Arabidopsis thaliana: one gene and its partners. The protein of the gene in region 1 interacts with the protein of each later gene in a pairwise test. Each region holds a gene or a part of one and is shown on either strand. Other genes may lie near its edges.

Evidence for each region.
Region 2: the proteins of AT2G01680 (region 1) and AT4G37445 interact in a protein complementation assay, tested with the Arabidopsis thaliana proteins (one large-scale study listed by BioGRID).
Region 3: the proteins of AT2G01680 (region 1) and AT4G27610 interact in a protein complementation assay, tested with the Arabidopsis thaliana proteins (one large-scale study listed by BioGRID).
Region 4: the proteins of AT2G01680 (region 1) and CaS interact in a protein complementation assay, tested with the Arabidopsis thaliana proteins (one large-scale study listed by BioGRID).

Annotation. Positions count from the first base shown.
Region 1 is NC_003071.7:301,518-309,767, forward strand, and holds AT2G01680 (Ankyrin repeat family protein), read left to right. Parts: upstream 1-4,733; 5' UTR 4,734-5,079; coding exon 5,080-5,401; intron 5,402-5,538; coding exon 5,539-5,948; intron 5,949-6,043; coding exon 6,044-6,910; 3' UTR 6,911-7,626; downstream 7,627-8,250. Other genes in the region: AT2G01690 (ARM repeat superfamily protein), read right to left, coding at 7,627-7,791, 7,955-8,242.
Region 2 is NC_003075.7:17,602,419-17,608,769, reverse strand, and holds AT4G37445 (calcium ion-binding protein), read left to right. Parts: upstream 1-3,825; 5' UTR 3,826-3,851; coding exon 3,852-3,882; intron 3,883-3,972; exon of another isoform or gene 3,973-3,991; coding exon 3,992-4,106; intron 4,107-4,199; coding exon 4,200-4,260; intron 4,261-4,347; coding exon 4,348-4,626; 3' UTR 4,627-4,676; downstream 4,677-6,351. Other genes in the region: SRFR1 (Tetratricopeptide repeat (TPR)-like superfamily protein), read left to right, coding at 1-147; AGP18 (arabinogalactan protein 18), read left to right, coding at 1,829-2,578, 2,758-2,844; AT4G37440 (uncharacterized protein), read right to left, coding at 4,924-5,106, 5,180-5,658, 5,749-5,802, 5,908-6,224.
Region 3 is NC_003075.7:13,783,024-13,791,505, reverse strand, and holds AT4G27610 (intracellular protein transporter), read left to right. Parts: upstream 1-2,990; 5' UTR 2,991-3,422; exon of another isoform or gene 3,423-4,132; 5' UTR 4,133-4,173; coding exon 4,174-4,357; intron 4,358-4,444; coding exon 4,445-4,549; intron 4,550-5,142; coding exon 5,143-5,858; 3' UTR 5,859-6,093; downstream 6,094-8,482. Other genes in the region: AT4G27620 (intracellular protein transporter), read left to right, coding at 990-1,176, 1,261-1,362, 1,759-2,447; NARA5 (pfkB-like carbohydrate kinase family protein), read left to right, coding at 6,501-6,890, 7,036-7,298, 7,517-7,634, 7,894-8,102, 8,318-8,482.
Region 4 is NC_003076.8:7,734,425-7,741,551, forward strand, and holds CaS (calcium sensing receptor), read right to left. Parts: upstream 4,112-7,127; 5' UTR 3,989-4,111; coding exon 3,773-3,988; intron 3,691-3,772; coding exon 3,445-3,690; intron 3,346-3,444; coding exon 3,153-3,345; intron 3,003-3,152; coding exon 2,861-3,002; intron 2,782-2,860; coding exon 2,650-2,781; coding exon of another isoform or gene 2,646-2,649; exon of another isoform or gene 2,571-2,645; coding exon 2,336-2,570; 3' UTR 2,094-2,335; downstream 1-2,093. Other genes in the region: AAE17 (acyl-activating enzyme 17), read right to left, coding at 1-78, 167-423, 512-641, 725-975. UniProt on the Arabidopsis thaliana protein: Modulates cytoplasmic Ca(2+) concentration and is crucial for proper stomatal regulation in response to elevated levels of external Ca(2+).

The DNA of each region.
Region 1 (8,250 bases):
CCACCATTTACCAATAGCAAAAACAGGCCAGCTCAAAAATAGCAAAAACAATTATGGTCCATGTTCAATTTTTTGAAATATAGATCCTAATTACAAATGTAAATAAGATTTTGACCTTTGTGTACACTAGTTTTTATGGTAATTTTATTTTTTCATATTTTTAGTATTTTTGTTGCTATTTCGTATCTTTAGTTCTTTTTTCGTTATAGTAATTTTTGATGCTATCTTATCATGTTGGAAAATTAACCCCATATGCATATATGTTTTATACTCCTCTTCTAAAAAGAAATTACTTATTTCTCTTCTGTTTTTTCCCACACTTTAATTAAAAACATCATTTTGTTTACATGCAACAATATAGCTAGAGATGTATATTTAAAAACCCAATTAAAAGTTTACATAGAAATTCATAAAATATCTAACCATATAAAGCAATAAAAACATTTGGAACATCGACGTATATGAAATAAGCATAATTGTTTTTTCCCTAATAAGTATACTTCATATAAATGTTCTTCCAAAATAATTTGGTGTAGTTGTTATGTAAAATATATATTTGGATTCGGCTTTGTTTATTATGACTTTATGAGTTTCTTTTATTCTTCTTCTAGAAATATTATTTGCAGTCTCTAGAAAACTAACGATTTATTAAAGAATTTTAATTTGCCGATTAAAGTTTTCTTCTAGAATTAACATTGAATTTTGGAATACTTTCTACGATTCCATGCATTTTAAATTAGAAAACCATAAGAATATCGAGAAGAAGGAAAACGACTTTCTAGAATTTGATTTGAATTTTAGTTGCTTCAAAAACATCGATTTTAATTCATTGTTGAGTAGTAGACTGAGAAGCTAAAATGTATGAAAATATAATATTTTACTCACAAAACCTAAACCTAACCCCTCTCCCTCTCACATACTATATTTATATTACGTACTATTATGAAAACGACGTTGAATCTTGAATGTAATGTCTATATATAAACAGTTAATATATAATTTAACGTGACATGAAAAAGCGTAGAAAATTGGTTACACGAGTTAAATATAACCATTTCTTTCGGTTGGTGGATCGAACTTTGCATCGACCTTTTACTGGATTTGTTTTCTTAACCACTACAAAGTTTATGCATCGATCGGCTGTAGATTTGTGACCTTAGTTTGAATTTCGGTTTAAAAAGTTAGTAGCTATATCAAAAATGTTAAACTAAAATATTGGTGAGATATTAATTATAGGACTAGAACCCACAGTCTATAAATTTAAGAGAAGAAAAAGAAAAAGAAAGAAGATGTCGGCATCAGAGGAAGACCGGAGCAAGTCGTGAGAGTTGAAATGGTCGGACACCACATGCTCTCTTTCCCTCTCTAATAATACATTATGCAAGTTATCAACTCTCTCTCTTTCTCTTTTTTTTTCATTTATCACTAATTGACAAATTATAATTGTTATAAAAATGCAATATAATTAATGGATTTCAAATATTATCTATTTTTTCTTCCGATATTTGATTAGAAAAATTACTTTTTAGTGTAATTTTAAGTTTTGGTGTTAAAAAAAACTATAATTTTAAGTATTATTTCAGAATATAATTTGATCTGAGATGGGGATAGTTATTGGGTAGGCGGATTTGCCCTACATATTGACAAATGCTAGGCACTTTTAATGGAGTTGTGGGGAATTTACTATGGTCTGCTGATTGTTTGGGAGAGAGGCTTAGGAAAGTGGATTTAGAGGTAGATTCAGAGTTGATAGTAGGATTTCTTCAGTCAGGGATAAGTGAGGCATATCCGATAGCTTTTGAGATATGTTTGTGTCATAGTTATTTTTCAAAGAATTGGTTAGTCCGAATTTCTCATGTGTATAGGGAGACTAATCGTCTAACAGACGAATTAGCAAACTATACGTTTTATTTGTAGTTAGGTTTTCATACATTTGATTTTTGCGCTGATGTAGTCCATTTGATTATGTTACAGGACGCAGTGGAAACAGACGTCGAGTTTGTTTATAAATTTTTTGTAATTTAATCTAATAAATGGTGAAAGGCAATTGTTTCCTCCACCCTACCAAAAATAAAGAATATTCCAAATGAAGTTCCATAATATTCTTCGGGGTGTAGAATAGAGGTGTTTTCTTACAATTTAGGACGTCTATACTAGTAGCTATGATTGAAACCAAGACAAATCCAACAATTGTGGTCCAAAACAATATTGTACATTGCTTAAGGAAAGCGTTGAAGATAATAAATCAGAATTAACCAAAAAGAAAGAAAAATAATAAATCATTGTTATGGTCGTCTTATGGATCCTAGTTATATACGAATTGAGTTTTCATTCATAGTTGAGAACGAATTCGTTTGCTCGCGTGTGAGTTTAGATCGTGGTTGTTTTTGTTTGATCGTCTACTAGTGTTAATTAAGATCATTATTTCTTAAACCCTTGAATGGTTCTTCTAAAACCTATGCAATGACCGTGAAAACGTTGATGATATTAGTTTTAACCAAAGAAATGTTATGCTAATAATGATATTGTGATGTTAAATTAATAAAGAAAAGGTTATGCTTAGCATGATCCCAAGCGATAATTCGTGTGTCCTATCATTAGGTTTGGAAAAACTCTACCAATCATAGACGATTAGACCAGTATAGTTGATTATAGTTTTCAGAATTCAGATTTCAGACCAAAGATAGAGTTGTGGACGTAGGTTTCTTGATTTTTGTTTTGTTTCTGTTTATGTTTTTTTGTCGTTATACATGGATAAAAAAAATTCCAACCAATCGTTACCTTGAGATGTGTAGTTGGACTTTTATTGCCTCATCAATACACTTATACAAAAGGTTCAATTTTCTGTCTAATTATGGACATGTTTATTTCAAATGTATGGTAATCTTCCAACACTTATAATACCATAATGAAAAATACTTCTGTTTATATATATATTGAACTGAGATTCAATTAGTGCCACCCATGTGACCTGATGGACTCTCCGTAGACAAATGTGGGGGCAATTTTGTTGGATCAACCAAACCCAACATTTATTTTATATCTGATTTGAAGATTACATTAGTAAATAAACAATGGTTAGAGTCAAGTTTATACAAATATATGGGACCCAACTAATAAGAAAAAAAAATTATTGACGTCAGATATATACTAATAAAGTATATAACAAAGGACCCTCAGTGCATGTAATTAATATATATTTTCCAATAAATATCAAACTATAGATTTTCTAATGTATTTAATGTTATTATTTCTAACTAGTAATTAATTGATAATTTGACAAATAAATTTTTGTTTCACATTATTCTTATATAAAACTGTAAATGATTTGTAGCAAAAATACAAAACTGTGTATATAATATACTTTATAAATAGTTTCTATGTATTGGATCCAAGTAGGATTTCGAAGACTTTGAAGGGCACATCTTTTTCAAAGTTTACTTATACATATTTAATGTAAGATAAAGTCATTGTTTATATGTTTTTTTCTAGAACACTTAAATTTCCACAATATGATAATTTAAATTAATTGAATTTTGTTTTACTTTGGTTGGTTTGTGGATAAAATCCAAATATTACAGTCACTATCTTTCGACGTGTCTCACTTGCAACCTAATCCTTTTCTGGAATGTAGCTTTTTTTTTGTTTGTCAATTTTATTTCTTTCTCTCTTAATCCATAAAAATTTTAGGCATTTTTGTATTACTGTCAAAGAACTGATTAGCTATGTCTTCTATATATCTAAAATAAACCATAAGAATCATAGTTCATACTCATTATGGTATTCTTAATTTTCTGAAACTATCGATAAAATGTTAAAACGTTATATACAAAAAAGGACTATCAACGTAGCAATAAAATGAATTTAGACTTATATGAAAGCTAATGGTGACGAAGAAGTTGACGGTGATGCCGGTCATTTGGGTCGGTGGTGGTTCCGTCACGGAGACTTTGACGGTGCATTATTGACGTCAACATGAAGTAGCTCTCACAAAACACAAAAAGGACCGTTTAGTTTGCTAGTTATTAAAAATATAATGGGCTTCAAGCCCATAATAACATGTCTTTTTACAAAACAGAAGCCACGTATTATATAAACCCATTTTTTAATATATAAATAATTGGGCTGTACTTGGGCTTGGACGGTTTCACTCTTTTATTTTTATTTTTTTAAAGTTTTTTCTATATTAGTAATGATATATTTACAGTGGAAGCCTTTTTGGCGGAAAGTTCTATTAATACTTATACACAAAGAAATTGAGGTTCAAGTCCCAAATACTGTGATTTATTAGCAGATAATGGAGATAAGTGTGCAAGAGATCTCGAACGATGTACAATTATAACTGTTTGCCAGGATTTGAAGATCTTTCAAGGTGTCCATCAAAAGCATGAAGACGGAGAAGAAAGTGTCGTCTTTCGTGGATCTAATAAAGATCGAAACAAATTACCCATAATAGAATCGGCTATATAACGGTTCTCATAAATCATAATTTGCAATAAATAATAAATCTAAAACGGTAAAAGAAAAATATATTTACATGAAAATAACATGTCATTTTAAATATTTCCAGAATTAAAATATAATTCCAACTGTCAACGGTCCATATACGTTATCTATAGACTATATAGTACATAAATTATTTTAAAAAGACAAATAATTTGTTTCGAGAAATAATGTTGCTGTCTCGTCAAAATTGGAAAAAAAATACATTTTAAAATACAGAGAAACGAATTATTGAGAGGAGAAATTTAGAGACCATTCAGGTTTTGATTGAAGAAAAAAAAGATTCCCATTTTATCATCTTTTTAGTTTTTAGTGTCAACTCTCCAACAAAAGCAAAAACCTTAAAGAATTTTGTTCTTTTTTTAAAGCAAAAGAACCAAACATGGTTTCACATGAATCCCAATTTCATTGCAAAGCATAACTAAAAATAAAGAAGAAGACTTTTTGGAGATCGAATCTGTTCATGTTGATGGGTTTTGGCTGAGCTTTCTAGAGATAGAGCTAGAGAGTACTGGGTCTGTGTAAAGTTGATAACTTTTTTTGGTTTAGAGAGAGAAAGGACAGAGCTTTACAGAGATGGAGATGAAGCAGATGAAGTTTCTTACTCACCAAGCTTTCTTTTCCTCTGTTCGATCAGGAGATCTTAGTCAACTTCAACAGTTAGTTGACAATTTAACCGGAGATGAGCTAATCGATGAGTCATCGCCGTGTTCTGCTGTGGCTGAGCTTATGTCTGTGCAAAACGACGCCGGAGAGACCGCCGTCTATATCTCCGCCGCAGAGAATCTTGAAGACATTTTTCGTTACTTGATTAGGTTTTCTAGTTTGGAAACAGTTAAGATCAGATCCAAATCCGACATGAACGCTTTTCATGTCGCTGCCAAGCGAGGTCACTTGGGTATGTCTCACTAATTCTGACTTCAAATCTTCAAACTTTGGCTCTCTGATTATGATTTTGAATCTGAAATTGCTGAAAATGGATTTGAATTTCGTAGTTTGAAGATATTTTGATGTGGCTCTGCTTATGATCTCCAGGAATTGTGAAGGAGTTACTGAGACTATGGCCAGAGCTTTGCAGAATCTGCGACGCTTCCAACACGAGTCCGCTTTACGCAGCTGCGGTTCAAGATCACTTAGAAATAGTAAATGCAATGCTTGATGTTGATCCTAGCTGTGCAATGATTGTGAGAAAGAACGGGAAAACATCTTTGCACACTGCGGGAAGGTACGGGCTTCTTCGGATAGTGAAAGCTCTCATAGAGAAAGACGCAGCGATTGTTGGTGTTAAAGATAAGAAAGGTCAGACTGCTCTTCACATGGCTGTTAAAGGACGAAGTTTGGAAGTAGTCGAAGAGATTTTGCAGGCTGATTACACAATATTGAATGAGAGAGATCGAAAAGGGAACACTGCTTTGCATATTGCTACTCGAAAGGCGCGGCCACAGGTATTACTCCACTCCTTTCTTAGCTTCTTGTATTGCTAGTTAGCTTTCAAGAACAGGGGTTGACACATAAATGCCTTTTGTGTTTTGTTTATTAGATAACGAGCTTATTGCTGACCTTTACGGCGATTGAAGTGAATGCGATTAACAACCAGAAAGAAACTGCTATGGATTTGGCGGATAAGCTGCAATATAGCGAATCTGCTTTGGAGATCAATGAGGCTTTGGTAGAAGCTGGGGCTAAGCATGGGAGGTTCATTGGTCGAGAAGATGAGGCGAGAGCATTGAAGCGAGCAGTGAGTGATATCAAACACGAGGTGCAATCGCAGCTTTTGCAGAATGAGAAAACCAACCGTCGTGTCTCTGGGATCGCGAAAGAGCTGAGGAAACTCCACAGAGAAGCGGTTCAGAACACGACTAACTCCATAACGGTAGTGGCGGTTCTGTTTGCTTCCATAGCGTTCTTGGCCATATTCAACTTGCCGGGTCAGTATTTCACGGAGGGGTCGCATGTGGGACAAGCCAATATTGCAGGGAGAACCGGATTCCGCGTGTTCTGTCTTTTAAACGCGACATCTCTGTTTATATCGTTAGCGGTTGTGGTAGTTCAAATAACTTTGGTGGCGTGGGACACACGGGCGCAGAAGAAAGTTGTGTCTGTAGTGAATAAGCTAATGTGGGCAGCTTGTGCTTGCACATTCGGAGCATTTTTGGCGATTGCATTTGCGGTTGTTGGAAAGGGGAACTCGTGGATGGCGATTACCATAACGTTGCTTGGAGCACCGATCTTGGTAGGGACATTGGCAAGTATGTGTTATTTCGTGTTTCGGCAGCGGTTTAGGAGCGGCAACGATTCACAGAGAAGGATTAGGAGAGGGAGTAGTAAGTCGTTTTCATGGTCTTACTCTCATCATGTATCCGATTTTGAAGATGAATCAGATTTCGAGAAGATTATTGCTCTTTGAATTAAGTTTCTTAAGCGTCTTTGTATAGATCGTCTCTTCTCTTTGCCTTTCTTCCAACGCAAGTCTGTGTTGTATTCTTAGAATAAATCTTGTTGGTACATATTAGTATCATATATAGCAATAAAGTCGCCACAGGCCATATCTGTATTGTTTCTTTTGTTCTACTACTGGAAGTGGTTAGTATATGTACAATTCATTCGAGTACTAGTGAAGTGTAATGTCTCTTATTAGCAAACATTGTATAAGATGTAAATCATTGTGAGATGAGGAAAATGTAAAAAGGAGCATCATTTGACATAAAATATCCAATAAGTGACCTCTACAAACTCATGTGGTTTTCCAGTTATAAAAAAACAACACAAAACCACATGATCACTTCTTTTTCTTACATCTCCACATAAGGTAAAAATATAAAAAGCTCCAAACAATGAAACAAATTCAAAGAAACGAGAAACCCCCAAAAAAACAATATAAAGGTAGACTGAGGGACTGAAGAAGAATCTCTCGTAAATAAAAAAAACCCGACAGAGAGAAAGAGATGATGGACACGACCGTAGCTTTTCCACAAGTTCCGTCGAAACTTGAAGAGTTACTAAAAAAGAGAGATATACAATTTTACAGGAGACAAAAGGGATCGGTGGTGTCCACACAAAGAAGATGAAGATGATGATTGTCGGGGATGGAATATTATTTATTATTTATGATTACCAGGTAGGTTAAAGCTGTAATTGACCAGGGCCTTTTCTTGAAGTTCTTGATGGAGGTCTATTGTTATCTGCAACTGATGATGATGTCGAAGAAGGTGGTGGTCGTTGTTGTTGTTGTTGTTGCTGTTGTTGTTGCTGCTGCTGCTGTTGTTGTTCTTCAGATCTCCTCACCTCCTAATACATCAAATTAAAGCACAATGAGACTATCCATATCTCTTAACACTCCAATTGCTAAGGGAAAAAACCGGTAAATCTTGCAAAAATGGCAATAATGTTACACCATCCTGTTATATTATACCGCAGGTTAACAGACAAAAATGTGTAGCGTTATGTGTACCTTTGATGTAGAAGAAGAGGAAGAGTGATATGAGTAGTTCACTCTAGTCCTTGCCTGGCCACGATGTAGATTCTGTACGTTTTCGAACTGTTGTAGCCGCACAGCAAAATTGATTCCTTGGTGAGAACTGTTGATGTTATCGTCTTCTAAGTCACCGTCCTCGTTTTGATGCTTATACTGAGAGAAAGGAACTCCTGAAGTTGCTCTGCCTATTTGGTTTCCAGTACTGAATGAGTACGTTGGCACAGTTTTGAGTCTTGTCCTAAGTATCTTGAACGCCGCACTTTGCTGCATAT
Region 2 (6,351 bases), on another chromosome or scaffold:
GAACCGGGTTCCTTTGTTGATTCGGTTAAGTCTTGGTTATACCCGTCCCTGAAAATCAATACGTCGTGGAGAGACCATACGGAAATTTCCTCGGCTTTTTCGACAACAGGAGCGGTTGTTGCTGCGCTTAGCACTTACAACGATTGAGATTCAAATCTCTCTCTCTCTGTCTCTCCTTCTCTCTCTGTCTCTCTGTGTCTCTCTCACAATCTTTCATAAGAGGTGAAGAAGGCTAACTAAACCATGAGCAGTAAGAAAACTTGTGTTTCAGTCAAACATCTTCCGTCTGTTTCTGATCTAAAAAACAAAAAAAAAGCTAGAAAAGCTTTGTTAGGGTTTTAACTTTATTAACTCTCGTGTTTAATATAATTTTACAGATTTAATAATGTATCTAAATATGATTTCTCTGGTCTCAACATGAGAGGTTCCAACATGAGAGTTTACAACCCTTGGCCGATCTTATGTTGTTTTAAGTTTATTCTGACACCTCTTTTTTTAATACAATCTTCTGTCTGCTCTGATTGACAGCATTGATACCATGATCATATAACCGTTGCATGTTTCTGAAATCAATCTCAAAATAATTGCTTCATAGTAAAAAATGATTACAAGATTCGAGTTTCATTTATTATCGTTATAACACTCACTGTCTCATTCGTCAAAGTCTTTAACAAAGTCAACGAACGACCATTAGCTTGGGCTTTCTCTCCACCGACGCGCCGCTCTCAGAATTTCCACTTACTCATTGTCTTTATATTCAAAAACTCAAAAAAAAAAAAGTATTAAGAATGGCTTAAGACCGAAACGTGTTTTCTCCTAGTCTGGCAAAACACAAAATAATAAATATAAGGAAACGCTTATGAATACTTTTCAATATTCTACATAAAGTCATTGAAAGAAGGATTGGAACAAAGTGAGAAGCAACAAAAAGAAATCAAAATCGTAGCTCCTAAGCAATACGTTTCTTCATTGGCAACGGTTTTGATTCCATTTCGACTCGAATGAAAAAAGGCCAAAGAGTATTCAGGCAATTACGGTGACGGTGGCAACAAATTATAGATTAAAACGAGCCAAAATAGAAGAAAGTGCCAACAAATCCGTGTGGGCACCAATCCAAAGTGGCAAAATCAATCAACCAGCTGTCCTCTCCCTCTAACTTCCGATCAAAGACTCTCTTTTTTTTTGTTTACGTTTTCTTTTCCTCATTCTCCTTGTCTTATTTTGATTGCATTATATTGAACTTGAGTTTAATCATTTTTCATTATTAAGGTTATTTATTTATAGACGCATGATGCATCAAGTCATAATAATTTCACCCGTGATGATCACATAATAATACTAATCCAAGACTCCATGTGTCGTACCCCAAAAATTTATCTCAATTATACTATGTACCTTATATTGTGCTATTTTTTTAACTAATAATTTCCCGACAATTTAGTAGTTGGAAATTTCTCGACCGTGTGATATAATCTATAATATAAAATATCATAATTATTAAACAATGATAAAATTTGTGAGCGACATTGGTATCAATTTCAAATCCAATTATTATGTTGACACAAGACTAGTGATTTATAGTATAACCAATTTAATGTCTAACGTAAAAACAATTACTATTAATTGATTTTCTATATCTGATCATATGTTCAACAAAACACATGCTAATCTACCCACCATTGGCGAATAAATTTATTGCAGAATATAACAGGAGAAAAATGCCAAGAAAAAAAAATCCTTATAAAAACGCACAAGAAAAAAGTAAAAGAGCTATTCTGTAAAATAAAAATGAAAAAAGTATTGAATCCTACATTAATAGATACAGGATATGATGTTCTGTTTCTCAACGGCTACATCTGTCTGTGATCCTTTTTTAATCCAACGATCCAGATCTCTCCTCATCGCCTATATAAAACTCACTTCTCTTACATCAAACAAACAACACGCTTGGTTAAACTCCATCAGTACTTTAACCATCACTTCAAAGTTCAAACTCTTTTTTTTTTTTTTGTTTGATCCAAATTTTAACAAAATTATGGATCGCAATTTCCTCCTAACAGTTACATTGATCTGCATTGTCGTCGCCGGTGTCGGTGGCCAATCTCCTATCTCTTCTCCGACCAAATCTCCCACCACTCCTTCTGCTCCAACTACTTCCCCTACTAAATCCCCCGCCGTTACTTCTCCCACTACGGCTCCGGCGAAAACTCCAACTGCTTCGGCTTCTTCACCGGTTGAGTCACCAAAATCTCCGGCTCCTGTTAGCGAGTCGTCTCCACCACCGACACCTGTTCCAGAGAGCTCTCCTCCGGTTCCTGCACCAATGGTTTCTTCTCCAGTGAGCTCTCCACCGGTTCCAGCACCAGTAGCTGATTCTCCTCCAGCTCCGGTAGCCGCTCCGGTTGCTGATGTACCGGCTCCTGCTCCAAGCAAGCATAAGAAGACTACAAAGAAATCGAAAAAGCATCAAGCTGCACCTGCTCCGGCTCCGGAACTTCTCGGTCCACCTGCACCACCGACTGAATCTCCCGGACCTAACTCCGACGCTTTTTCTCCCGGTCCTTCCGCCGACGATCAGGTACATTAGCTTATATCAACAATGTTGATATTTATCTACCGTCACAAGTTCGAGTATCAATGTTAAAAATAACCAATGAGACATTTCAAAACAGTGAACATAGATTTTCAATTTTTGTTATATTGATTTAGTAATTACATATTCGATTAACTAAAATGAAAATATGGAATTGAATGCAGAGCGGAGCAGCGAGCACAAGGGTGTTGAGGAATGTAGCGGTGGGAGCGGTTGCAACCGCATGGGCCGTTCTCGTTATGGCATTCTAAATTATTTATCATTTCACCTCTGATATTTTTTAGTTTTTATATTTTTGACCCTACCATTGTCTCTTTCTTTACGAATTTGGTAATGAGTATTATTTAATTGATTATACAGTTTGTTTTCTTTTATTTTATTTATATGGAAATAATAAGAATTCATATCTGTCAGTGATGAAAATACTGTTTTACACATTGATTGTTCTTTTCTTTTGCAGACAAAAGTCCTTTAGTGATGGGTCCGAGTTCTTTATTGAAAATGACACATTCAATTTTAATGCAGAATTATGGACATTTACTCTAAAATAAAATGTTTGTGTAAGTAACGTCTATGTAACAATAAGCAAAGCAGTTACATAATTTGTTTTAGTCTTTTAAATGTTTAAAGTGTTAGTAAATCAAATGTTGATATTTACGTTTGAAACCAATTACATGTGTTTCTTTAAACAAATATTTACAATTGGAGTATAATTATGCGAGAATGAAAGTGTCAGCTACTTAGTTGGATCTTAGTCTTTTATAATGTGAAGTTGGTAAATATTTATTGAATTCATATCTGATACCCAACTCAAGTGGCCAAGTTGCTATAAATGAATTGTCTAAAATTTATTACTAAACATGTATAGATCCAACCAATCATATAATACAATGCTTTTTATTGTACCTTTCAAATAGCTAGATTCATATTTTTGTCTTGTTCCTTAGAGAACTAGATTTGAAAAAGAAAAAAATTAATGGATATCTAATATGGTAGGCAAAAAGAAAGTGAGAATAGAGGACAAGTCATATTCCCCATGCTTTTATTAAAAGTACATTACTCAACTGTGAAGAAATGGCTAAGATTTTGTAAGTAAAGCACAAGTTATACTTGAACCAAGGTCTTGTGTAGAGATTCAAGATTCTTGGCTTTGCAAAGACACAAACCCACCAAGCCAAGTCTCTGATTCCACACACCAATACAAATTTGTATATAAACATAACATTTTCTTCTTCCTAAAGACTAACTTCTAGACAATATGGGTAGTTCAATGGGCTTTCTCGGAAAAGGTTTTGCAATTTTTTAACCTAACAATTATCGACTCAAATCGTTATATAACCGTTTTGACAAATTTTCGTCCTATATATCTTTCTAAATAGATTTCGATATTTGGCCTAGGGGTACCACCGACGCAGATGATGAATATGGTAATGGGTTCACTCTACAAACAATTTACCCAAAAAGCTATCAACAACTTCGACGATTTCCACGTTGCTGTTTTAGACATCTTTAAGTAAGGATTGTTTCATTATTTGATCATTCGAAAACAATGGTTATGTTGGCCAACATTTTTTTTTTTAAAAGGAATTTTATCTATTGAGTGCAGCAACTTCAACTCGGCTTTACCAGGCAGGCACTTCGATTTCCCAACCCCGGACCAAATAAAGGTGAGTCCTCTCCTCTATCAAAATCACACAAAGAATCTTATAATAATTTCTCTATATTTTTAACACAATGTTGAATGATCTAAACAGGTTTGTTTCGCGCGGTGGAAGGAAGCGAAAGACGAAGAAGAGAAGAAAAAATTGTTCATTGAGTTCATGTCAAAGAGCGTGAAGCCAAGTAAACTCGATGATGTCACTATGATCACCGGAATAGTATCTCCACCGGCGGCAATGGCGGCTAAGAGAGCAGGAGAGAATGTTCCTCAGTTAAAATTAATCAAACTTATACCTGATGTTATATTCGTCCCTACGGTCACCATTTTAGCCATTGTCTCTGCCAAACTCTCTAGACGAATGTATTTGAAATAGTGTTTTAACTAAGCTTTCTTTCTTTTCCAAACAAAAAAAACTTAGCACCGACAAGATATAAAACATGATTGATTGATAATACAAAATAGAGAAAAATATATACACTCTAAATTATAGAAGTAAAGTTCAAAAGTTGATGTAGTTTGAATATATTGTTGACATGAAGAATCAAAACACAGCCACTATAAATATTTCTTTGTACTTTAAAGGCTTAAGAGTTAAGAATATCTTAGAATGAACAATTTTTACTTTTTAACACAAGATCCGATTAGTTACTTGAAAGTTTCCAAACCTTCTTCAGGATCTTCTTCGTAACCCGGCAGAGCCTGACCTTCGTTTTCCTCGCTTTCTCTTCCTGTTGGAAAACCTAGAAGCCATCACAGCATTAGACTTTGGCTTCTCTCTTGAAACCCGACGCCTCTTTGGGTTACTCTCTTCCTTCGTAATGATTTCACGATTGCGCGGTGTTCTTTTCCTTACCTGCGTTGTGTTAGAATGGCATATGAGACCAAAAGGGTTTAGCAAAGTTACACTGAGTTAGCGGAAAACTTACAGGTCTTGATGGACCTTCCTCAATTGAAGCTTGTTCTGTCTTCACTAGATTCTTATCGGGAATAATAGATTTCCCTTCCCTTCGCTTTGATGCTAGAATCTCAGACAGTAAAATATCTGTTGTCTCGTCGTCTTCAGGTGAGACGTGATGAGATGAAACTGAAGCAGATTTCACCGGTTTTTCTTCAGAGATGATCGATTTCTCATCTTCGTTTTTGATAGCCAGCAGGGGCTTTTGTTGTTCTGAGCTGGTGTATACATCAGCAGCTCCAAGTGGATTCACTGTGTTAGCCAGAGGGAATATACTTGGATTTTCACTCAAAACCTTGTCTACGCGGATCTTCAAGTTACGGGCTTCTGACTTTGCTGCTTCAATTTTCAAAAGTATCTGTTCCAAGTACGCATCGCCTTCTCTAAACTCGAGAGGCGGTGTCTCTTCAGAGAAAGCTGTCTCATCCTTGGCGCTCTTATTCTTCTTATCTGATGACCCAAGACAGAAAATATTTTATAAGATCAAAGTTTTCAAAAGGAGTAATATCATATCATAGTTGAGATTTTAGAACACCATACCTAGGTTGCGGGAGTTGTCATTAAGAGCAATATCGGCCAAAGATTTCCGACAATCTATACAAAGATCAGAAACAATAAGATAAGAAATTATTAGACAAGTAATGGTAGATGAACATTAATCACGACCAGAAAGACAAGAACACCAAACTAGTTCCATACCATAATAAGAGAAGAGATTATGGTTTGATGCATAGGATGTAACATCAGCGGTCTCTTCAACTCGCTTTCTCGTTTTCCTCTTCATGAGTCGGGTTTTCTGAGTATAACATGGAAGAGGAGGTAAAGCCTTTACTCCAAGTTCTTCTGATTTGACATTTTCTAACTCCAACTTCTTGGCTTGGTAATATTCTTCAACTTCTTTGTCGTACTTCTGTGCTTGGTTCTGAAGTTCTTTGTATTTGAGTTCAATCCATTTGCAACGCCACATTAAAGTAGGCTGTACAAACCTCCTCCAATGATCAGTCAGCTTCCTTTTTCTGCCATAAAAAGGAACAAACCATAATAATTACCGCATACCATTCACGATATAGAGCAATTCTTCTCCTGACTTCCTTAAAAGGAGATAAATCAAAGACGCAGCTAGCTAAGTCGTAGTAAAGTAAC
Region 3 (8,482 bases), on another chromosome or scaffold:
TGCATGTAATTGACTTCAATGTCACATTGTATCCAGTCCAAGGATTTTCAATTCCAAAATACATTCATAGAAAACAACGAAGATAAATCTAAAGAAATATATATATAGAATAATTTACAACTTCTTAGTGCAGTAGTAGTGCATAGGTTGAGAACAAATTTACATTCTCTAGGAATGAGATAACCTCTGTCATCTGATCACCAAGAGTCACTGCCGCCAATAAAGAGAAATGTATCCTTCGTTTTGTCGTAATCTTGATCCTATATTAATCTCATTTCTTAATCGTTACTTTTTATTTGTGAAATAGGTTAAATCAACTGTTACTTACATTATACAAAATCATGAAGGAATTATTCAGTTTAATATCAATCAAAAGGCCTAAGTAGTAATCTCGATTCCACATTATTTTATTTCGCCTTTTTTTTCCGCCAATTTCGATTCGACATTCTTGAGAAATAAAATATCTAGTAACAGTACTATACACTATGAAAATAAGATAATTTGGGACGCTTCACGGCGGGTGAAGAAAAAAAAAAAGAAGCTTCAACGGCCTTTGAGTAGTTGTTTCTGCGCCGCGCTGTCTCTCTAAAACAGCCTGGTAAGCTTCTTCGTTTTCCCTTCTAGAGACCATTGATTATCATAATTGTTCTACAAACTTTAGCTTTTTCATTAGTCTCTCGATCTACTTGATCGTTGTCACTTAGCAACCCTAATTTCTGGGAGAATCGTCCCTGCAGTATTACCCATCCCGATGAGGTTTATTTTCCGATTTCTGTTTCCTTTTTATCGTCACTTTTGGTGTTTTGAATCGTTCTCCGATTTTCTTTTTGTCGTTGAGCCTCTGTGTTCTTCAATTGTTTGCCATTTTTCCTTCGCATAGGGTTTGATTACGATTAAAGGCCTCTGTTCTGTTACTAAACTTGAGACTGTGGCTTCCTCTTCAGTGTTAAGGTTGGATGATAGAAGACATTTTTTGACCTTCTCTTACAATGACTACACGAAGAAATGGCGTTTCCAGGCATCAGCGGTTTGAGAGTTTTCGCGGTGAAGGACCAAATTGGATCTTAATTGCTGGGGGTGCTTTGTTGAGTACATTGTCCATTCGTTTTGGCTACAAATTAAAGCAGTCTATTGACTCCAAACCTCCTCATTCCAATGCCACTGGTGGATTAAAACGTACTTATCTGGTTGTTTAGTGCTTACATGTCCTAGAATTCGCTTGTATTCTCTATCTTATTGGTAGGTTGTTTTGTTGTGCAGCTAATGGAACAACCGACAGAGGAAGATTTAAGGGCTGCTGCTTGCATTCTAATGCATCACCCTGTGAAAGGAATAATGATTGTTGCTTTCACTGCACTCCCGGTGAGAGTTTGTGAGTTTGTTATTCTTACTACTGAATTTGCTTATACATAACTTCACTTCACATAGTCTCTTACTGGGGTTTGATTTTGTGGTATCTTTGAAGTGAAAAGAGATTTTGGGAGATGTTGTCAAATAGTTGAAAGAATATGGAGATGGTTCTTACATATTTGTAGCCTCTAGTATCTTGCATAATGATCTTTGTAACCCAATCAGGAACAATATTTGACTAAAGATGTCTTTGTACCCCAATCAGGATTCATACTTAAGTAGCTACTTACGTTAATGAGCTGGAAACTATGAAGGCTGTAGTATTATCCCCCAATGATGGCTTGTGTTATGGCAGAAAAGTTTTGTGTGGGTGTTCTGAGAGTTGGCTTCTTATTTTCATTTATGCAGGAACTGAGAATGGGGAAGGAAATCATGCTACAAATGAGCAAATGGCAGAGTCCAGTACTTCTCTGCCTCTTGTGACAGTTCCTGCTTCATCATATAGCAAAGAGAGTGCAGTCGTATGGGGATCTTCTCCTGACCACCTGGAAGTGCCGATGAAAGCATACCATCAACATTCGACCTGCTCAGATTCTCCTTGCGTATCTGAATCCGGCTCAGACATCTTCAGCAAGCGAGAAGTAATACAGAAACTGAGGCAACAGCTGAAGAGACGTGACGACATGATAGTTGAAATGCAGGAACAGATTCTAGAGCTGCAAAACTCGCTAAACGCCCAGATGGGACACTCTAGCCATATCCAAACACAGCTAGACGCAACAAACAGGGACCTGTTTGAATCAGAAAGAGAAGTCCAGAGACTGAGAAAGGCAATCGCTGATCACTGCGTGGGACACACAGGTAGCAATGGTTGGAGTGGCGATGTGAACAGCGAAAACAACTACGAGTCACCAGAAAATGGAATAAGGGATGGAGAAAGAATAGAGATGTTGAGAAAAGAAGTGGGTGAGCTTAAAGAAGTGATAGATGGGAAAGAGTATCTACTTAGGAGCTATAAGGAGCAGAAAACAGAGCTTTTGCAGAAGGTAAAAGAGTTGCAGCAGAGACTGGACTCGCAGCTCCCAAACATTTTGTAGGTGAAGAAGGTTAGGCATTGTGCATTCTTACCACTCTCTTTTGTTTCCCCGAGTAAAAAATATGAATCTTTGTTCAAAAATATCTCAATTTCTCCGGGGAAACTTATCAACTGACTACATTGTTTTGGGTGTCAATTATGATTTTATCCAAATTGTTTTTTTCTCTTGGTGAAGTGGATATTCGAAAGTTGCAAACTCATACAATATCGTGTCTCAAGGCTTAAATTGTAGAATTGCAGTTGAAGTTTTTTACAAGAAAGTTGGTTACTTGTTCTTAAGGAAAGAGAAAGAAGGGTTGCTAAAATTTAATTTGGCACTTATTTCAGTCAGGTTTTGATATTCATAAGGAAGAAAATCGTTAGAGAAGGAAGGACCAAATATTTAATTTTGTAGTTGTCACATAGTGAAGAAGACAAAAGAAAAATGTATCATCACATTAGCTGGTAGTGACTTAAAATAGAAAAAAAAAAATAATCAACAGAAAGTGCAAACATTTACACATGGATAAAGATGTCAAATGTTCATTCATACTCAAATTATCTATTAAATTTCATTACTAAAAAATTGAAATCGTAAAGAAGAAAAGAAAGAAGAAAAAAACATATGAGCTGAGTTTGTTAACCACCGTGAGCGTCATCCATGGGACGTGGTTGACGCGTGCGTGATTTTATTTTAATAAATGAATTAACAGTGGAAGGAAAAAACAACAACGGAGCTGTAACTGTGAGGCGCCGTCTCTCTTCAACCTCTTCCCCTCCACTTTGCTTCTCTCTCTCCTCCCCGGGGGTTTTACAGTCATATCATCGTCGGAGACTCTGCGATTCTTCACGGAATCGTATTTCTCTCTCAGCGATTTTTTTCGATTCTCGAAGCTGCAAGGACCACCCATCAAACATTGAAACTCAAGCGGGAGAAATTTTCTGGCTCGGGAGGGAAACTATGGAGCCCTAATGCCCATTTTCTGCTGTCTATGAGGTTTTTTAAAGAGTCCTTTATACTCTCCCTGTTTTTGGGTGCTTCGCTCGCTCACTGATTTTTGATTCGTCGGAAAATCTATTTTCGAGCTCGGATTTATGTAATTCCTTATTCTCCTTCTGATTGCGATTGTTGTGTTCATTAAGGGTTGTTGGGATATCGATTAACGGCCCCTATCGAAAAAAATAAGGGTTGTTATTATTTTCATTTCGCTTCATGTTCAAGGCAAGTATCTATCTCTTCTTCTTGCTTTTGTAGTTTTAGAATCTAAATCCCATGGCATCAACGTTTCGATTACTCTTTCAGGGAACTCCATTTTTCTTGCATTTGCTTTTTTTGAGGTAGAGTCTGTGCTCCTATATGATTCCATGGATTCGTCGTATACTTTCTCAACTGAGAATGTTTGACTTAGAGAATCTTCCATTTTTTTTTTTGTCTTTCTCTTTTCAGTGTTACTATCATTTTAGATCTTTTTTTTGTTTTTCCTTCTCTGGTTGACTGTGTTTGAGGTAATGCTCAAAACGTGATTCTTTGTGCTCATTATCTTTTCATATTCTAGTTTCTGGAATCTTTCTGGGTATTAAGCATTTGATGATTTTAAAATTGTATATTTGTTGATTTTATTGAGTTGACACCAGGTTTCTTGTTGACATATGCCCAATTCATTCTGATCGTTGATGATGATTGATTCTTGTATCCGTTCAATGTAGGTTATGTTTGGATGATAGATACATTTTGACTTTCTCATACAATGAGTACACGAAGAAATGGCATTTCCAAGCATCAGCGAGGTGATAAATTTTGTGGTGAAGGGCCAAACTGGATACTAATTGCAGGGGGTGCATTGTTGAGCACATTGTCCATTCGCTTTGGATACAAGCTAAAGCAGTCGCTTGATTCGAAACCTCAATCAAATGGCTCTGCTGGATTAAAACGTACTTACTTTATCGCTGTGTTGCTTAACATGTTTTATAATTTGGTTCTAGTTTTTTTCTATCACTAAATGAAAGCCTCTTGTGCAGCTAATGGAACATCTGAGAGGCAAAAATCTACAAGCTGTTGCTTACACTCTACCACATCTTCCTGTACACAAAATAATGATTTTTGTTGCTTCCGCTCCATTCCAGGTGTGACTTTGTAACTTTCTGTTTTGCCTCATACATATTTGTTCAATCTACTAAACAAACGCTATATGCTTGTTTCTTGGTCTCGCATCATGTCTTACTGGGTTTCCTTTCATGAAGTTAAAACGATGTGTGATATATAGTAAAATCTAGTTGGGAGAATGTGTAGATGTTGTTATAGAGTTCTAGCCTCTGTTATCTTACCTCATGATGTATTTGTCAACTAGGGGAATCCAATTCGAAGTTATGGAATGAGTAAAATAGTTACAAGATTTGCCACCTTGCAATAACTGGTTGAATCGAATATCTCTTGTTTCGTTGTGGCATATTACCATTAATTTGCATCAATTGGGCTGGCAACTAGGGAAGCAGGTTTTCTCCATTGATGGCTGTGTCTAGTGGCTGAATGCTAAAAACAGTTACTAGTTTTGTTATCTACCAAGACCTCGTTAAGCATAGTTACAAGTTTTGTACTATTAGATCCAGACCTGAGTTATGTTTTCTCTTTGGAAAATCTCTGAATCCTAATATTCATGTAGTCCAGAGCAAACAGTCGTGTATGGATCTTATCAGCCTTTGCTTCTTTATTTTTATAGGAACTGAGAGTGTGGAAGGAAAAGAGGTGACAAGCGAGCAAATGATATCCGCATCTGACACTTCACTGCCTCTTGTGACAGTTCCTGCTCCATCGAGCAAAGAGAATGGAGTCATGTGGGCAACTTCTCCTGATCGCCTGGAACTTCCCCCAAGACCATACAATCACAATTCAAACTGCTCAGATTCTCCTTGCGTATCTGAAACCAGCTCAGACATTTTCAGCAAACGAGAAGTAATACAGAAACTAAGGCAGCAGCTGAAGAGACGGGATGACATGATACAGGAAATGCAAGAACAGATTCTAGAGCTGCAAAACTCGTATAACGCACAGACGGCACACTCAAGCCATCTCCAGGCACAGCTAGACACACTGAACAGAGATCTGTTTGAATCAGAAAGAGAAGTTCAAAGACTGAGAAAGGCAATTGCTGATCACAGCGTGGGATGTGGCGCGGACAGCAATGGCAAGACATCTCCGGTTGGACCTTGGAATGGCGGGTTTATGGACAGCGAAAGCAATTATGAGTCACAAGAAAAGAGCCTAAGGGATGGAGAAAGAGTAGAGATGTTGAGAAAGGAAGTGAGTGAGCTTAAAGAAGTGATAGATGGGAAAGAGTATCTACTTAGAAGCTATAAGGAGCAGAAGATTGAGCTTTCGCAGAAGGTAAAAGAGTTGCAGCAGAGACTGGACTCACAGCTCCAAAACTTATTGTAGGTGGAAAGGTTAGGCATTGTGCATACTTGCGTCTCTTATTTTTTTTTTCGGTTCTTTTTCCTTTTTCGAGAAAATGAATCTTAGTATGTACTAAGAACGGTGGAGATCAAGATTTTCAGGTTCTTTCTGGCTTTCTGCTTTCGTTTTTGAATGTCTTGATTCTGTTTTTTCTTTCAACATTTGGTGTAAAGGTAAATAGATAGTTGTTGAAGAATTTACCGCGGGAATAGCTCTCTACTTTTTTTTTTTTTTTATTCTCCGTAATTGGTAACTAACCCGATAATTACAAACGCCACGTATAAGGATGTGTTCACTAGAAGAATTAGCCAATTTTAACACAAATGATAAATAGTATAAACAAATTTTAAATTTATAAATAGACGCAACATACATTATTATTTTTAAGATACAGTTAAAATAAAATTGTTAGCAATTATGCTTATTCTGAAATTTTGGGTTTGAATATAAATAAGAAATAGAGTTTTATCCTAATAAGATTTATATAAATAAACATATAAAGTCAAAGTCATACTTTATCCTCTCAGAGGCCGTCTCTCGGGTTTTGCTGGTCTTCCTTGCTCCTCTCGCTTTTGAATGGAGATGTGAGCTTTCTTCATTCAAAGAGCAAAACTATCTAATTCCATGGCGTTCTCCCTCCTCTCTCCAATTCCTACCTCTGCCTCTCTTTTTTTCACTCTCTCCGCCATTACCGCTTCTAATAATGCTTCCTCCTCCTCTCTCTCCCGTCTTTACTCTTTATATCACCCCAAAGGAACCTTACGAACCAGAACCGCGACCTCGTTTTTCGGAGCTTCTGGGAACTTGAGGATTGTTTCCATGGCGGAGAATAGGCAATTGGTTTGTAGGATTGGTGGCGGAGCCGGTGCTGAATTGGATGATATGGATGAAGGTGAAATCCAGAGGATTGGAAATGAAGACGAAGACGACGATGAATTCATACAAGTCCATGCTAATAATTCCTCTGCTGCTTCGCCTGAGAGATGGGATGTTTTGGGTCTCGGCCAAGCCATGGTGAGTTTTTGTTTCCTATAATAAATCATTCTAGCTTCTAGCTTCTAGCTTCTTCTTATCCTTGAAGCCACCAAATGGTTGAAATATGTGAATCTGGATCCTAAAAATACTTACTTGGTTATTGATGATGTGTTTTATGTTTTAGGTAGATTTCTCTGGAGTTGTGGATGATGAGTTTCTAAAGAAACTTGGTTTAGAAAAGGGAACAAGGAAACTGATTAATCACGAGGAGAGGGGTAAATTATTACAAGCAATGGATGGTTGTAGCTATAAGGCGGCAGCTGGAGGCTCATTGTCCAACACTTTAGTTGCTCTCGCAAGATTAGGTTCTCAATCCATCTGTGACCGGCCTTTGAATGTGGCAATGGCTGGCAGTATTGGAGGTGACCCTCTCGGTAGCTTTTACGGGTACTAAACTGTCTTACTTATATGGCCCTTCTCTTTTTTTTTGGCTAATTGTGTATGTAGTTAGACATAGTCTACTTTTTATTCCCCTCTTAAGAATTGGAGTATGGAATTATGTAGAGAATCGTTACTATACAAGAGTAGTTTGTAAGGCGTCAAACTAGCCTATCATTACATTTGGTTTGGTATACTCACAAGTTTTTTTTTTTTTGTTTCTATAGGACTAAACTACGACGAGCAAATGTAAATTTTCTTTCTGCTCCAATCAAGGACGGAACAACAGGAACAGTGATAGTTCTCACAACTCCTGATGCACAACGTACTATGCTTGCATATCAGGTAGGATTTCTGATCTCAGCAAATTGCTCTTGCAATGTATTACTATTCAAAATGTAAGGGTTTCCCTTTCTTCTTCCACAAGAGTCGAGCAAAGTTTAACTTTTGAAGTAGATGACGTGCAAGATCATTGTAGTGGTAGGATCGATTTGCTTCCATAAAGCAACCACATTGAGATAGTAGTAGCATTGTTAACTCTGATAAGTTTTTCAGTTTTATTGATCCCACTAAATAACAAACCTAATGTTATGTATAATTTCAGGGAACATCCTCTGTCGTTAATTATGATTCTTGTTTGGCTAGTTTGATAGCCAAGACAAATGTCTTTGTTGTGGAAGGCTATTTGTTTGAGCTTCCTGATACTATAAGAACCATAACAAAAGCCTGCGAAGAAGCCCACAGAAACGGGGCACTTGTTGCTGTGACAGCATCAGATGTGTCCTGCATAGAGAGGCATTATGATGATTTCTGGTCAGTTTCTTCTCCCTTTACTTGAATACATTCTTGCGTCTATTTGATTTTGGGTCAGTTCCATCGGATAGGAACAGTTGGAAATAATACGAAGAGAGTGATTATCTTCTGTAGCTTGATAAGTCATAGAAGCTTTGATGCTTCAAGCTGTGAATGTCTCTCGAAAAAACGAAACTTGAACCTAGATAAATGCTGATGGTTTTCTGTTGATTCAGGGACATTGTGGGGAACTATGCGGATATTGTATTTGCAAATAGCGATGAAGCAAGAGCGTTTTGTCACTTTTCCGCAGAGGAAAGTCCAATTTCAGCGACAAGATACATGAGCCACTTTGTTCCGTTTGTTTCTGTTACCGATGGAATCAACGGGTCATATATTGG
Region 4 (7,127 bases), on another chromosome or scaffold:
TCAACATTCATTGGCATATCAACCGCGATTGCTGACTCTTCCTCCAAACCCAAAGCACTAAGAGCATGTGCAGCTAACCTACACAATAGATAACAATAGTCAGTAAAGGAAACAACTTTAAAGCGTTATTCACCAAAGAAAGGCCACAAGGATGGGAATTTCATACCAGACCTGCGATCTTAACTCCAAAAGTGTCATGGTATTCACAGGAAGATCATCGCTTCCTTCATCACGCCATCGAATCACAATATCATCCAATCTTCTCTTGAAACCATTAGTCAAACAATTTCTTGCAGGATTCAAGTAAGCTCCAGGAAGCCATTTACCTCCAGGATTATCTCCAGAAGTATCCTTCTCTAATATACACTTAGGAGGTACAGAGAACAATATGTTTAACTCATCCAATACAGTTTTCCAATACACCTGATCAAGATAATCACCATAGAATTACAAAACACATAATCACGAAAACTTAAGGCATAACAATAATAATAACACCAATGTTAGTTACCTCAGGATTTGATACAGAGAACTCTTGAAAACTGGAGAAACTCGAAACTGGATTCTTGTAATTTCCACCTAAAAACTCTTTGCCTCGCTTTTCTAATAACTTGCCTACGTTAGTTAAAGAAGCAACCTTCCTATAATATACAACAAAGCCAAAATCATAAGAATCTGAAACAAACGGAGAAAAATCAATTTATGGTAAACAAACAATTCGTACGGGTCGGGTATCCAAGCGGGTAGGTCGGGTCCGAAATCCTTGTAGCAACCGTAATACATCATCTGGTGAAAAGAGAAAGGGAGATTAGGGTGAAGGATCCGCCGAGAAATCTGAATCCACGTCTCCGGCGGCGTGGATGAACCGTGAATAATGTCTTCGAGATCTCTGAGAAGCTTCTCGGAGACATCACCGGAGATTCCTAGAGCTTCGATATCAGATTTGGTGATTGAATTTAGGGATTTGTACGCCATTTTTTTGAGAGAGCTAAGAAATCATGAATGATTCAAAAAATGATGAGAGTGGCAGAGAGAAGAGTGGCAAAATTGTCCACGTAATATAAAGAGAGCTCGTGATCGCCACGTGTCAATCTGATTCTGATATTTGATAGCTTTTTTTCGCTCTTTACACGTCTGATTGGATTATCTTCTTCTTCTTGGTGATAGGAGTTACTTTTTTTTTATCTTCATGTTATATTATGATATGAATCTTTTTATTGATATCAGTCTATATACATTGTATGAGATATGAACTTGTATTCTTAATCTATGAATCATTTCAGAATCTAGGCTCCATATTATATACATTGTCGATATGTTACTATGACCAATTTTTTACCTTAAGTTTAGTTGGGTATTTTTTTTTTTGGGACAAACTAAGTTTAGTTATTTATATGTTAGGAATCATAATGAAAGTGAAAGAAAAAAAATGTTGATTGATTGATATATTGAGGAAAAGAAGATAACACTTTACATTTGGTTACTTTATATGATTTTATGTATCTTGAAATTGGTCTCAGTCTATATACATTATGTAGTGGTACTGATCTCTTACACCTTTTTTTTTTGCTTTCTCTTTTCGACTTTTGATCATCATCTTATTTGGTTTATGTCTTTTATTTATTGATTTCAGTCTATATACACTATCAATTTAGATTGTATGGATCAGTAGAGCAATATATGTTAGTCTATATAAATTTTATTTAATTTGGTGTAGAATCCGTTAGCAAAATAGACAATTTTGTTACAATTCGGAGTGACCGGTGTTACAATTAATATTAATTAGACAACATTTTGATTAAAAATAGTTTGTATATACTTCAACTATTGCACAATATTTATAATAGTTTTCAAAATTTATATCTTGGTTTTCACATGATTGAAAGCACTAAACTAAACTCCACAAAAAAAAAAACTTGTCTAATTTTTATTATCTTCAACCATTTGTAAAATGGATTTTCGGCAAAAAGCTATTGGCAATCCCACTAAGTGATAAGGCTAGGCCACACACACACACCTACCAGATGGTCCAAAATGATTGTGCATCTATGTGATATTACAATTAGTTGTCCATAACTCATTATGAATTTAGTCTTTATCCCAATTTTTTCCTACCACTATAGGCCAAACTCATCCCGGTTTTTGATCATACATTTTTTCTTTTAGATGATTAGCTACTACTTCAGTTTGATGTAATCTTTTCCATATATGATCATCAATGTAAAAGACAAGTAAGTAAGTAATTCGAAAATCTTATCTTATCAAAAGATCTCTCAAAGTTGAGAAATAAAGGAATACTAAACAACACTTGTAAAACTATATATATCCTCTGTTTTCAGTCGGAGCTAGGAAGGAACTTGGTTCCGGACCTAGTGCCAAAGCTTCTCGAAGCTGCCGGGATAATCCGCGATGGAGACAAGACTTGTGCAAACGAGAAGTTGTAAGAATCAGTGCCTAAACGGCTCTGCAACCATCCTCTGCCACCAGAGAATCCATCTGTCACAATATAGCAATTCTTGTACCCGAGAACCTTTAACGTTTTCGCCACTATCTTAGCCGAATCCGTGTACCTACGAGCCAAAAAGACCAATAAAGATTAAGCAAGATTCACAAAAAAGGTCTTGTAAAAGAGTAATAATCAAAACTCACGAGTCCAAGATGATGATATTGGAGCCTTTGTTGATTTTCTTGAGGTAAGAAATCTTTAATGCTGCTATCTCTGCTTCAACTCGTTTAGAGTTCCTCACGATTCCTTTTACTTTGTTTGGTAGTTCTTCTAATCTGATAATCACAAGAACAGGTTCAATGTTTTGAGTATAATAATAATGAAAAGAATTATCAAAGTTAGATAGACACATACGGAATGGAGATCACGCGGTTCTTAGCATTCGAAGGGAGCCGTGGAATCCCGGCTTTCTCCTTGTCTTTCTCTGATCTTATATCCACCATCAAGTAGTTCTTGGTGCAAAGAAGGTCAAGCGTTTGAGCCGGCGTAAGATCACCTTTATTAAAAAAACACAAACCAGAAACACAGAGTAATTGTCAGCATTTTGCTATGGTGAATTAGACTCTAGATACAAAATAGATCACTAATAACCAAATCAAAAACTTATATATGTTCTCAAGATGATCTATATGGAGTCTTGAGGTACCTTTGTAACCACGGAAGTTAAAAGAGATGGCAGAGAAAACAGGAGGGAGAAGAAGGTAAGCAAGAAACGCAGCACCAGCAGCAACAACAATGACACTAGGGTCAGCTGAAGAAATCGTATCCATGGTCGATGAAGCAATCGGTTTAGCATCTTCTATCGCTTTTGACGTCTGTTGTGCTACATCTGTTACTGTCTACATCCCAACCAAAACACAGACAAACCACTTCAAACCCTAAACCCCAAAACCTAAATTGTTATGTTCTCATACATATTTGAATGTAAGAAATCTGACCTTTGCAGCATTAAAGACAGGCTCAGAATCAAAACCAGAGCTCTGCATTGCTTCTTGAGCTTTCTTTGAAGCTTCAGAGAAAGCAGGAGAAGCAAGCTTCATAGCTTCTTCACCAGCTTGCTTTGCAATGGGTAAAGCAGTGTCCAAAGCTGGTTTAAGAGCATCTCCTACTACTTGGAACACACGCTGCGTTGCATCAAATACACTAGAACCAGTTTCTTGAACTTGGTTGATTGTTTTCTCCACCTGTTAAGACACAAGAACACTCATCAACAAAAAGGAGACATTTTGGTCATTTCAAGAAGTAAAGTGAGATTATTATATATACTTCAGTGAGAGAGGAGACGATTTGGTCCTTGGGAATGGAAACAGCAGCTTTAGCTTCATGAGGAGGAGATGCAAAGAGAGATAACAGAGAGATTGAAGTTGATGTTGGAAGTGAAACAGAGACTTGTCTCAGACTCAGTGTCTTCTTAGTAGAAGAAGAAGGAAGAGTGAGTTTTGCAGATAGTGAAGACTTCGTTGCCATTTCCGCCATAGCCATGGTTTCTCTCTGCCACACTTTTTTACAAATCAATGCGACAGAGAAAGAGACAAAGAATCTTTAGAGCTTCTCTTCAATGTTGTCTGCAAACTGTTTCTTCAAGTACCTTTTTCTAAAGATTATAAATAAATTGAGTTTTCTGGTTAAGATTGAAGGAAGGGGATTTGAAAGATGGATTCTTATTGGTCAGACTAATCCTACGTGGCATTTTTGTGTTAAAGCTTAGCCGTTCGTTGCCAATCCAATACTTTGATATATGTCGTACAAGAATTTCATTGTAGCAGTAATATCAGAGGTGTACTACAGAATAAGAGCAACAAAAAATGAATACTGTACATTGAAACATGCTTATGGTTGTACACGAAGTAGCTATCTGTTTTAGCCGCCTCTTCTAACAATGAGTTCCATCAGTTCGATTGGTAATCAAAGAAGCGGTTCAACCTCCGCTCCAAGCGCCTCAAATTGTGTTACCAATCAAAGCCAATAAACATCATCTTGTATGAACCAAGACCGAAAACTGCTATTAAACTTCATTCCGTACAAAACCAAGTATCTTAAATTGGACTGATGTTGGTTTAGGTTCCGTTCTTGTGGTTCCTGTTTACTCTCCTAAAAATTTGAACAGATTTGAGCATGCTGATCAAGTGAAGTAAACTACCTACACTTGGTCAACCGTCTACTAGTAAAATTATAGACTCACTTTATTAACTTTCCCATGATTGAAGGAAGACGAGCAAACACACATGATCACTAGTTCCATAGCATTTACAAGTATATAATTCCACAAAATGTATAGTAGTACCATTACTAGACCTTAAAACAAGCAAGCTCACCATTTAAACTATGCTATTAAGTTCATGTTTGTTAAAGCATCAGCCTAGAGAGTGGTATCATATTATTAGTAGTGCTACCATCATCACAAATTCTATATAAGAACATTGTAGAGAAACAGTATTTTCTCATATTTTAACAGCCCCTCTTGTGTGAGGAATATAAGAAAGATAACAAGTCTTGATCTTGAAAAAGAACAAGATTCTCCTTTTCTTACCTAATTTGAAAATGGAATCATGATACCATTTGAAGTTTTGCTCCAAGGAATTTTAAAACCCACGAGCTAAGGAATCCTTTCACTTCACAAGATTCCCTCACCTTTTCTCTGTGCTGCCAAAGGTGAGGGAAAAAAAGAGAGGACACAGGAAGACCAATGACTTATAACAAAAGTGTCTTTTACAACAAGAAAGTTTAAGGAGTGAATTTGATTCTTCTTGAACAGCCAGTTTCATAAATAGTAATACGAAAAGAACAAGAAGTATAGCATGGCTCTCTAGAAGGTTATTAATCAGTGAATATCACCACTTGGATCCTGATTAAAGGGTTATCATCACGCACTCATTGCGCAATGTATCAAAGTTTTTGATTGTATTATACTATTCTACGTGGATTCCTTATCACTTGCCAAGAATGAACATAGTAATGCAAAAGCAAAGGTTTTAGAATTATGCAATGTCTATGTAGGTAATACTTAAAAGAGCCAGAGAAGTAAGCAAAAGCACACATTGCATCAAGAAACCAAGAGATCACAGCAAATTTCATATCAGGAACTCATAACAACATAGCCATGCTCAGGAACAAAATTAGCGTTGAGGGTCTGTAGTGACAAAAGACATAGCCAGGAAAAAAACCGATCTACTAATCTGCAAAGCTGAAGAAGTACAAGTTGGATTCAGTGGCTCAACAAACAAAAACAAAAATGCTAGATGAAGAAAGACCATATGGAACACAAACCTTGATACATACATGTAAACCAAAAGTAAAACTGCATCATCAGAATTCAGGACCATTGTTAAAAAACAGATCAATAAAAAAAAAAAGTTAAGACAAAACTGAAGTTGTAAGATTTAAGAATATGAGTCAATTATGAAGACATGACTACAAACAAAAACACATATGATAATTGATCTGTTACCCAAAACAATAACAAACAAACAATTTCATTTTATCCTTTTTTCATATACAAGAATTTTGTTTTCCCTCACTATCTCAACAGCTAAAAGATGAATACTTTGAATTAGATTTGGGATAAATTTTAAATATTTAGTTTCAGCAGCTGAGAAGACTTTATCGAATCCATTGTCCTGCTTCTCAGCAATACTCAAATAGATATCAATTAAACAAAAGTCATGAAGAGCAAGCAGCGCTGGATGCAGAGGTTTATCGATCGATTCTTGCTTTTGTAAACAAAAATAAATATTCACAGGAATTGATCGATGAACCGCTGCCTCCAGCGACTTCACTCTTTCCTCATTCATAAATCATAAATAAATAAACAAAAATAATTGACAGATCTGAGAAAATCGGTTGATGAACAAACACAAATCATTATTAATCTCAAAAAGATTAAAAGAAACATTTAGATAAATTTACAGAGAGAGGTGGATAGATGCAGAGTTATAAAACTAGGAGCTGCTCATATATATAGAGAGAATGCATGTGAGAAATAAGTGGAAGGAGAGGAGATTTTTCAATTGGAATCAATGAAATTTGAAAAAGAGGAATCTGATGACTCACCGTTTTACCGTACATTACATAATTTTCTCTCATCCTCGTCTTTTGTACTTTTTGGTCAATAAAAAATCCAACTCTATGATTGACAGTCTAATGATTCTCACTCTAGTTTTTCTCTTCTTTTCTACTTCTTTTCATTTTTATATAATTTTCACTTCTTTTTGTTAAAATTTATCAAATATCACCAAAATTTATCAACTCTATAATTTTCACTTTTTTTGTTAAAATTTATCAAATATCACCAAAATTTACCTACGCATTACAAAAGATAAACAATAGACTTTACCAAAACCTAACTCTTTAACCATAAGCTAAAAACAAAAAAAAACAAAAAAAAAAACAAGACTTTTTGTCAAATAAATAACAATAAATCATATATATCTTTTTCCTTCTAAAAATCATTCTATTATATGGAAGTTAGAATTAATGTTAAAGTTATACAAGACTATACCACAAAAATTATTACATAAACAGATATGTGAGTCATTTTCTAAAAAAAGTACGAAGAAACAAGATTTAACAGTAAATTATATATTAGTGCAATTTTCATCACTAAAGAAAAAAATAAGTTAAA